Linked DNA regions of Neodiprion lecontei. The protein of the gene in region 2 binds, or shares a complex with, the protein of the main gene of each other region. Links are inferred from orthologs where the notes say so. Each region holds a gene or a part of one and is shown on either strand. Other genes may lie near its edges.

Region 1 (3,575 bases), on a different chromosome or scaffold from region 2:
CTAAAAGATCATGGGGAACTGTTGCCACGCACACTCATCTGTTTGTCAATCGGTGGAATAAATCGATCAAATTACGTCAACAGGATTCGTACGCACAGGGAAAACCGGGAAAACCGGGAAAACTCAAGGAGTTTCTTACAGCAGGGAAAAGTCAGGGAATTTTGAAAATAAGACTGGAATTTTAAATTTCTTGAAGAAATAAACTCGTTCTTATACGTACATTACTTGATATCAAACCTCCTTTCGTTTTTTTTATTACTGAAAATTGCTGGCTGTTATTTGTAAATTAGTAGTCGGACAGTAAGTTAATTACTAGGTAATATTTAAGGTATTAGTATTAATTTGCAAAAAAATTGTCATTAATCAGCGGCATATTTCTTGGAAGGTTATTGAAAAAAAATTCTATTTTCAGGCTGGAACACCTGGAAAAGTCAGGGAATTTCGGGTTCCAAAAAGCGTCGAACCCTGGTGAATAGAGTAGACGAATTCTGACACGTTACAATATGAAGATCATACTTGAGATCTAATTTCAATCTATGAATCTTAGCGTAATCCCAATAGCAGCTTGATAAAAATAAAAAATGTATATAGTACTTCGTCAAGGTATAAATACAATTCACTAGTACACCCTGCCTCTATTTTAAAATGTTGTTTATTAAATCTTGTTAATTATAATAAATGAATAATTTGAAAGCGTGTAATGAATTTTTTATTCACAAATATATTTATTTTGACACGTTCGATAACACTTGGATAAACAATTAAACGCTCTTTGCAGAGCATTGTATCATACATGTTGTTATAAGTCTAATTTTTACTTCCCATCACTTGATACCTATTGATATAAATCAACAGGCAATTGAAATATACAGATGTTAATAGGAACTTGATAAATTATACAATGTTTTCATAATATATTTCTAATAACTCCGTATTTAACGAATAAATACAATTTTTATGTTTTTTTGAATTATAAATGGTGATAATTTCATCGATTGACCAATCTCCTTATTAAAGCGATACGTAAGCCCTGTAGCAAAGTCACTAGTTCTATAATTAAATATTCCTAACTTACATTAATTTATAATCTAATTTCAAGATTGATAGACTCTAAGACGAGTTGTCAAAATTGTTAAATTTTGAGAAATCAGTAGAACAGCACAGTGTGTAATATGGGCCGTGCACATTTTGCTTCGAAATCATGAAGCAGTTCATCTATGTCGTTGTCCAGGTCGTCGCTGTTGGATAACTGTAACATTGAATTGTTATTCTCTTACAGAAAAAATCAGCACTGTTGCAACTTGAATAATAACAAGTAACAAAGACTAAAAAGTTCAGAGATCTATTTCAACAATTATTGCGTTGAATTCAATATGTTTCACAAATACATTGAACAAATATTTATCTCAACAAAACAAGCCCTGATTCTAGGAAGAATATTGAAAAAGTAAAATTACCACTGTGACTAGTTCGCAAATGAGGAACGAGCCGACCGTGGCCTCCTCATGATTATCCTGAATATCAATGTTGATAAGATGGACGGGCTGATTATCTTCATGGCTTCTCGCTTCCATGCATTCGATGACTTGATCATAAACACGCTCTTCGCATGTAACTAGAATATCAAATTTGTCCTTGGAAAGTTGAAACCGTTCAGGTCTCGGTTTTATCCGACGATTTCTATCCAGCATGTGAAGTAACCCATTTTGCGTATAACTGAAATTGTGATTAAGAAAAATTATTGATTTATTAAGTTATGTATTGCACGTGAAACTTTTCATTGCGGAAAAGGTACTGAAATTAATTACAGGCTTAAATATTAGCCACAATAAATAGTTCAAATTAAAAACATACTATTGTTTATCTTTGGTCAGCAAGTCGTTGTAAATTTCTTCGTACGATGTGCCAAAATCATAAATGTTTGGACGATCAGGAGCATTTCCTGGCAACTTTACCTTATCCCCAGTGCCAAAAGACTTTACATTAAATCCCTTTTTGCTGAAACATGATAAAATATTTTTCTTTATAACTGCACCAGATACAAGTGTTTACGATATGAGTCAAGGTTGAAATCTTGATGTGAGAATTAGCAAATTATATAGAGCTGTAGGGTTGCTCCAACTTCAACATTGAGTCATTTATATAGAAATCAGTTTACCTCAAAAATGCATGAGCTTCCATACTTCTGTTCATATTACTCGAACATATGACTGCGATGCTTATCGTATTTTGTGCCGGCATTGCTTTTGCGGGAATACGCAAAGCGTGATTAGAGTTGTGGAGGAATGCGAGGTTAACCGACTTAACCTCAAAATCAATGACTTGAACGATTCTCACGTACGATTATTCAAACTAAAGAAATTTCTATTTTGAAATTTGCGAGTTTGAATAAGCTTTCTACTGAGGTTTCAACATCCGTAGAAAAATTTCTTCAACCACCAAATATCAGTAAAGAATCAACCACGACACCCTTCAACCTTCGTGTCTCCTACGTGACTGCCCTGGACTGCCCTACTGACTGCGAACGTCACTGTAGAAAACCGACGTACAAGCGCAGACCTTAGACCCCTTAGACCATACGGAAAGGATTGGGCATGGGAGCGGTGGGGGTGCTGCCGAGTGAGGAGACAAGGATAGCCATAGCGATATACCGGGACAATCTGTCGAAACTTGGAAATCAACTGCGCATGCGCGAGTTTTATTTAAACTGTTTCTGGCGGCGACGTAGTTGATACGAATTTTCGAGGTTAGAATCTCAAATAATTGAGATAGTGACTCGGAAAGGTTTCGGAAGCATTTGTTGTTGGGTCAGAAACATAGACTTATACCACTTATACATAATAGACTGAGCATGCCGGATATTTCCCTCGTCCTCTGAACGCCTATCGGTGTTGGTGCTGTCTCTTTCTCTCTTATGGGGTTTTCCGCCCTACTCATCTCTCAAATACCGCCCATGGTGGGGGAACCAAGCGCTAGAGGGGAAGAGAAAAGCAAGTGAGGGGCAGTTGCAGGTTGTGCCATCCCACATATCCCCACCCCAAGATCGCTAGAAAGAGATAGCAGTATCAGCTGCGGGTGTAAGACAAGAATAGCACCGAAAACGGGGGAATCGAGGTTCAGGAGACAGTCGCTCCGAACTAATGCTCAGTTTATTTTATATATGGGCTATTCCGCGTCAACCGGATCAGTCATCTCTCAGATATTTTTTTAATTTCGCATGTGGATTGTGTAGGGGGAGTCAGATTTTTGTGCGAAAGCGCGAATCTCATAATGCAAAATTCGATTTTTTATTAACAATAACAAATTAGACTCCCATTTTTTTCAAAAATTCATAACTTCGGCAAAAAATTAGATACGATATATTTTTTTTTTAAATTACGCGGAAAGCTCCATAGAATTTAAAAAAAAATACGAAATGGTAAAAACAAGTTGTTATCAATTGTTTATTTAACAATTAATTTTTCAAAGATTTTTAAAACAGTGACTGACACGATCAAAAAATTTTTTTAAAATTCTGACATGTTCCTTGAACTGTACTACAACCTGTGAATTAATTCCAGAGGGGTATTTTTCTT
Region 2 (3,934 bases):
AGAATATTTTTAAGTAAGATGAGGCTCAGTTCCAATTGCAATTACCTGTTGCCGTTTTTTCATCTTACGAATATCCTCGACTTTTGGATAGGCCTTCATGATTTCTTGCTCTCTTGCCCCGAGCTGGTTCAATTGTCTTGCCATCGTTCCTGCGAACTCTATGCTTGCAGGGTGTTTTAGCAATCCCAATAGCGTGAGCTTAAGTTGCTTCTGGACACTCGTTACTTGTGAATCGGACAGCGTTGGTGGTAGATCATGTTGTAGGAGTTGTAAGGCTGGGTACCAAAAATTATTCATCTATTAAGTATTGTTCTTAACCATTTTTGAGCATCAGAGTTGTTTCAAAGTTTCAATATAGAAATGCCTAAGGTGTGAATAACTTTGCTAAAAATTCTCGAATTTTCAAGCTCTGCTATCACTACAATACTGCAGCCAAACTGAGAGCAGGAAACTACATACTGAAAAAATACCTACCCTGAATTACTTGACGCATAAACTGAGGCCTAGTTTTAGCAATCAATGCCAAGGACCCCATACAAGTCATCAAATTGACGCTACTAACGTGTGGAGAACCATGAAATTTAATCAACAAATCCATAACATGGTTTGCCTCCTCCTCAAGTTTTCTTCTCCGAGCTATTTTTAGTGTTAATGGAATATCTTCTAAGGAGAAGTCATCCGGCTTTTTTGGAGCGTCAGGATCTGGATATGTTTGCAGCAAAACGACTCCTTCCAGGAACTTTACTGCCTGCGTCCTGATTCTGTAACCAAAATAGTCAGGGTAAAATGATGAAAGAAAAAACAGAATACCTAAAAGACATGTGCAGCCTCATGTTTTACAATTTTTATCAGCATATATTCTTTGGCAGCATCTAATGAACATAAGATATGGAAAATAAAATAAGAAAAATTTTTGTTTCTGTTTACCCATCATTGTCACTGTCGATCATATTTATTATCGCAACCTTCAGATTGCTCAGCTGTGTCCAAGCGAGTTCCATGTCTGTTGTAATAATCGCAACACTTGATATCCATTTCAATGTTGCCCTAAGAATTCTTCCCGCTGCTCTAAGCGCCCGTTTGATCACAGCTGATGCATCATCTCCAACTAATCTTGCAAGTGTTTGGACTAATCGAGGAATCAGGTCAGGTTGTTTACACCTACGATGGTCAAAGCACGGTTAAAAAATATTTTTGTAAATTTAATTCTTATATGTTTCAGCCAGTTTAAGGTAACAGCAGCAGAAATTGAAGCTTTAATTGTAAATTCTAGGCTTCCTCATGTAAAGATAACAATCAATGCATAATTAATAAGCAAAGGATAATTGTAATGAACAATCTATTATAAAGTCTGGTATTAGTACTCATTCTTTTCATTGAGACAATCACTGAGTATTCCAATAGAGTTTAAAAACTCGAATAGACTAAAATCCTGACTTATGAATGATAATAAAAGGTGAGTTGCAAATACCCAGCTTCTTCCAAAAATCCTGCGATAAGTTTTCGAACTTCGCTACTCCTATCTAAAGAGAATTGCAACGTTTCGTCCAAGTATAGATCCAGCAACTTTGGTTCCTTGTGTATCAAAAACTCATTAACTTTGGCCAAATTGGTTAATTTTACGGATTCGCTTGTGCTCATAGAAGCATCATTAAGCCATTCTACGACCTGCAAGATTGTAGTAATTACAAATTAGTACATGTATTCCATTTTTTTTTTTTTTCGACTTTCTTTTACATGCTTTTTTCGCATTGTCATTACAGGAACCTTTTGAATAAATTTTAGAATCATTCATGTATAGACTATTTAAGCTGCGCTCGGTATTTATATCCGATTCCGCGATTACCTCGAAACGCGTTGCAAGAGTAGCGTCGCGTTTAGAGGTAATGGAAGAATCAGATGTAAGTAACTAAATGCATTATTAGTGGAACTGATAAATAAGCGAGTGATAATACTTCGAAGTACTAAAATATTTGTGTTCTTTTCTAGGTTCTTTTTTTTTGTTTGTTTACTTGTATCGTGTCAAAATTTAGGTTATGTCACTGACCAAGTCGCTCGAGCCCTTTTTTTCAGACTCTTGTCTTCTGTGTAAGCGTGGGTCCATTGTATTTGCGAATTGACAAGTTTATGGGACGCGATGACTTGCTGATTGAATGCGAAAAATTGGCGACGATAATAAAATGTAATATATGCGGGTGTATCCTACATATGTTTGATTATGTTTCGTTTATGTACAATTCGCTGAGTCTCCGATACGTCAAAAACTTGTAATAGTTGGGTACATGATTTTTGAATCCTAGAATAAATATGATTTTGTACGTTAATGAGTAAGAATAAATATTCCCATTTGATTCGGTAATTTTGTCTGCAAAGTGATCTTAATGCAAATATAATGTAACGCGATTTTTTAATATGCTATTTAGCAATTTATGGTGCTATTGAGTTCCGTCTAACAGTCCGTCTACGCCATATTGGCCAATTACAATATTGGCAATCTTTTCACGCCATGAACAATGAAACGTGATTGAAGATATACAAGTCCTACCTTGGAATCGCAACTCAATCCGGCAAGCGGTCGGTACATAAGGACGACAGGAACTGATGTTACCATCGTGCACCGCGTGTGCCCAGATAATGCAGAGTCGAATATTATTATGCCTTTGAAACGACGAACGGGAACAGACTGTAATTTTCATAAAACCTCATATGGACGTCGTTTACTTTTCAACTACGCAAATTCATTTGGACCCAATTCAGCAATGTCAATCTAACTCCATCGGTTCGATAAAAATAATGTTATCTAAATAGACGCACAATAAACATGCACCCGGTTTACTGTTAACAGAGTTAGAAACCTTTTCTTGATGCAAAGGATGGGAGACATAGTCGAAGACCCGAAGAAGTGAATCAACGGATCAAGATATACAGTTGTTCCTACATCTACCTTATGTAATTTGTGTACATATGTTTAATACTAGACTTGTAGCGTTAACTGAGGATAATAATATCTATCTTCAGGCACCGCTCATATCTTCATTCCGAAAGAATGATGCAGCTGACATGTAAAAATAATTCCTTAACTGACGTTACATTTCGTGGTTTTTAAAAAATACAGTTTATTTGCAGCGGAAATCCTAGACCTTTCTATGCAAAAGTACTACTTGAAAATATTTTTCAGAATTTAAGTAAGACTAGATTGTTACTAATGTATGAGTCCATGCTTTAACAACCCCGATGAAAGTCAGAAAATCATTATCACAAAAGTATTAAATAAAATATATAAAGATGATCAAGGTTCCTTTCTTCAACTTCTACTCATATTAGCTGGTTGTATTGTCATTCCGTCCGCTGACCCACAAACTAGATTGTTCAGAAATTTATTATCAAGTGGCCCAGATTATAATTACGTATATCTGTCCACTTTATTATATATTTATGGCAGTGCCCGTGTTGATTATTAGGATTTTCGAGTTTGAGAATATTTATTTCCGAAAAAGTCGATACTATTTCATCCGGAATTTCGACACTTTTCCGTAGTGTCGACTGCGAAAGGTCAAGCAAGGGAGAAAGATGTTGAAATTTCCAAACTCTTAATTGTCAAAGGTATGTGCACCTTGTTGACTTGTATTAAGAAATTAAATTCATCAAAAAGTAAAATGTATTCACATGGAATTTACTCTGAGTAAACTAGAGAAATCCTAAAGTATTACGATTCCACATGAGTTACACACTATCGAAGCATGAGTTTTATTGACAATGAGTTAAATTTACGTTAGAATAAAATTGTCATTTGAAAAGCTACAATTTATTAGTATTTGACCTTTGAAAATAAGTTCACTTATGCTCGTTTCCTCACCACCGCAAGCGGTAAAGCACCCGGAGCGTTTTTTTTACGTAGTTTCCTCAGTAGGCCTACTCCACGGAGAATAGTAGC

The links.
Region 1: the proteins of symplekin (region 2) and RNA polymerase II subunit A C-terminal domain phosphatase SSU72 are in contact, whole or in part, in a crystal structure (PDB 4YGX), measured with the Drosophila melanogaster proteins. The link is inferred for Neodiprion lecontei from reciprocal best matches to the Drosophila melanogaster genes Sym and Ssu72. Residues at the interface, in NP_649580.1 of Drosophila melanogaster: Glu91, Ala117, Lys121, Gln125, Gly128, Ser129, Glu169, Asn170, Asp171, Gly172, Thr175, Asn176, Lys179, Phe180, Arg198, Ser240, Ser241, Val242, Ile245, Ala246, Ser249, Thr281, Ser283, Gln284, Ser286, Ser287, Lys290, Met294, Gln295; in NP_001285455.1 of Drosophila melanogaster: Glu114, Tyr117, Asp118, Val121, Met122, Glu125, Glu128, Ser129, Val130, Asp131, Asn132, Arg133, Pro134, Asp168, Asp170, Asn171, Asp174, Gln178, Glu181, Val187, Ile188, Leu189, His190, Ser191, Val192, Phe194.

Annotation. Positions count from the first base shown.
Region 1 is NC_060263.1:35,824,778-35,828,352, forward strand, and holds RNA polymerase II subunit A C-terminal domain phosphatase SSU72, read right to left. Parts: upstream 2,569-3,575; 5' UTR 2,242-2,568; coding exon 2,159-2,241; intron 1,999-2,158; coding exon 1,855-1,998; intron 1,717-1,854; coding exon 1,458-1,716; intron 1,250-1,457; coding exon 1,148-1,249; 3' UTR 684-1,147; downstream 1-683.
Region 2 is NC_060261.1:29,147,635-29,151,568, reverse strand, and holds the start of symplekin, read right to left. Parts: upstream 2,481-3,934; 5' UTR 2,105-2,480; coding exon 2,048-2,104; intron 1,669-2,047; coding exon 1,472-1,668; intron 1,162-1,471; coding exon 928-1,161; intron 762-927; coding exon 475-761; intron 276-474; coding exon 46-275; intron 1-45. UniProt on the Drosophila melanogaster protein: Component of a protein complex required for cotranscriptional processing of 3'-ends of polyadenylated and histone pre-mRNA. Involved in germline stem cell transit amplification, differentiation and mitosis-to-meiosis transition.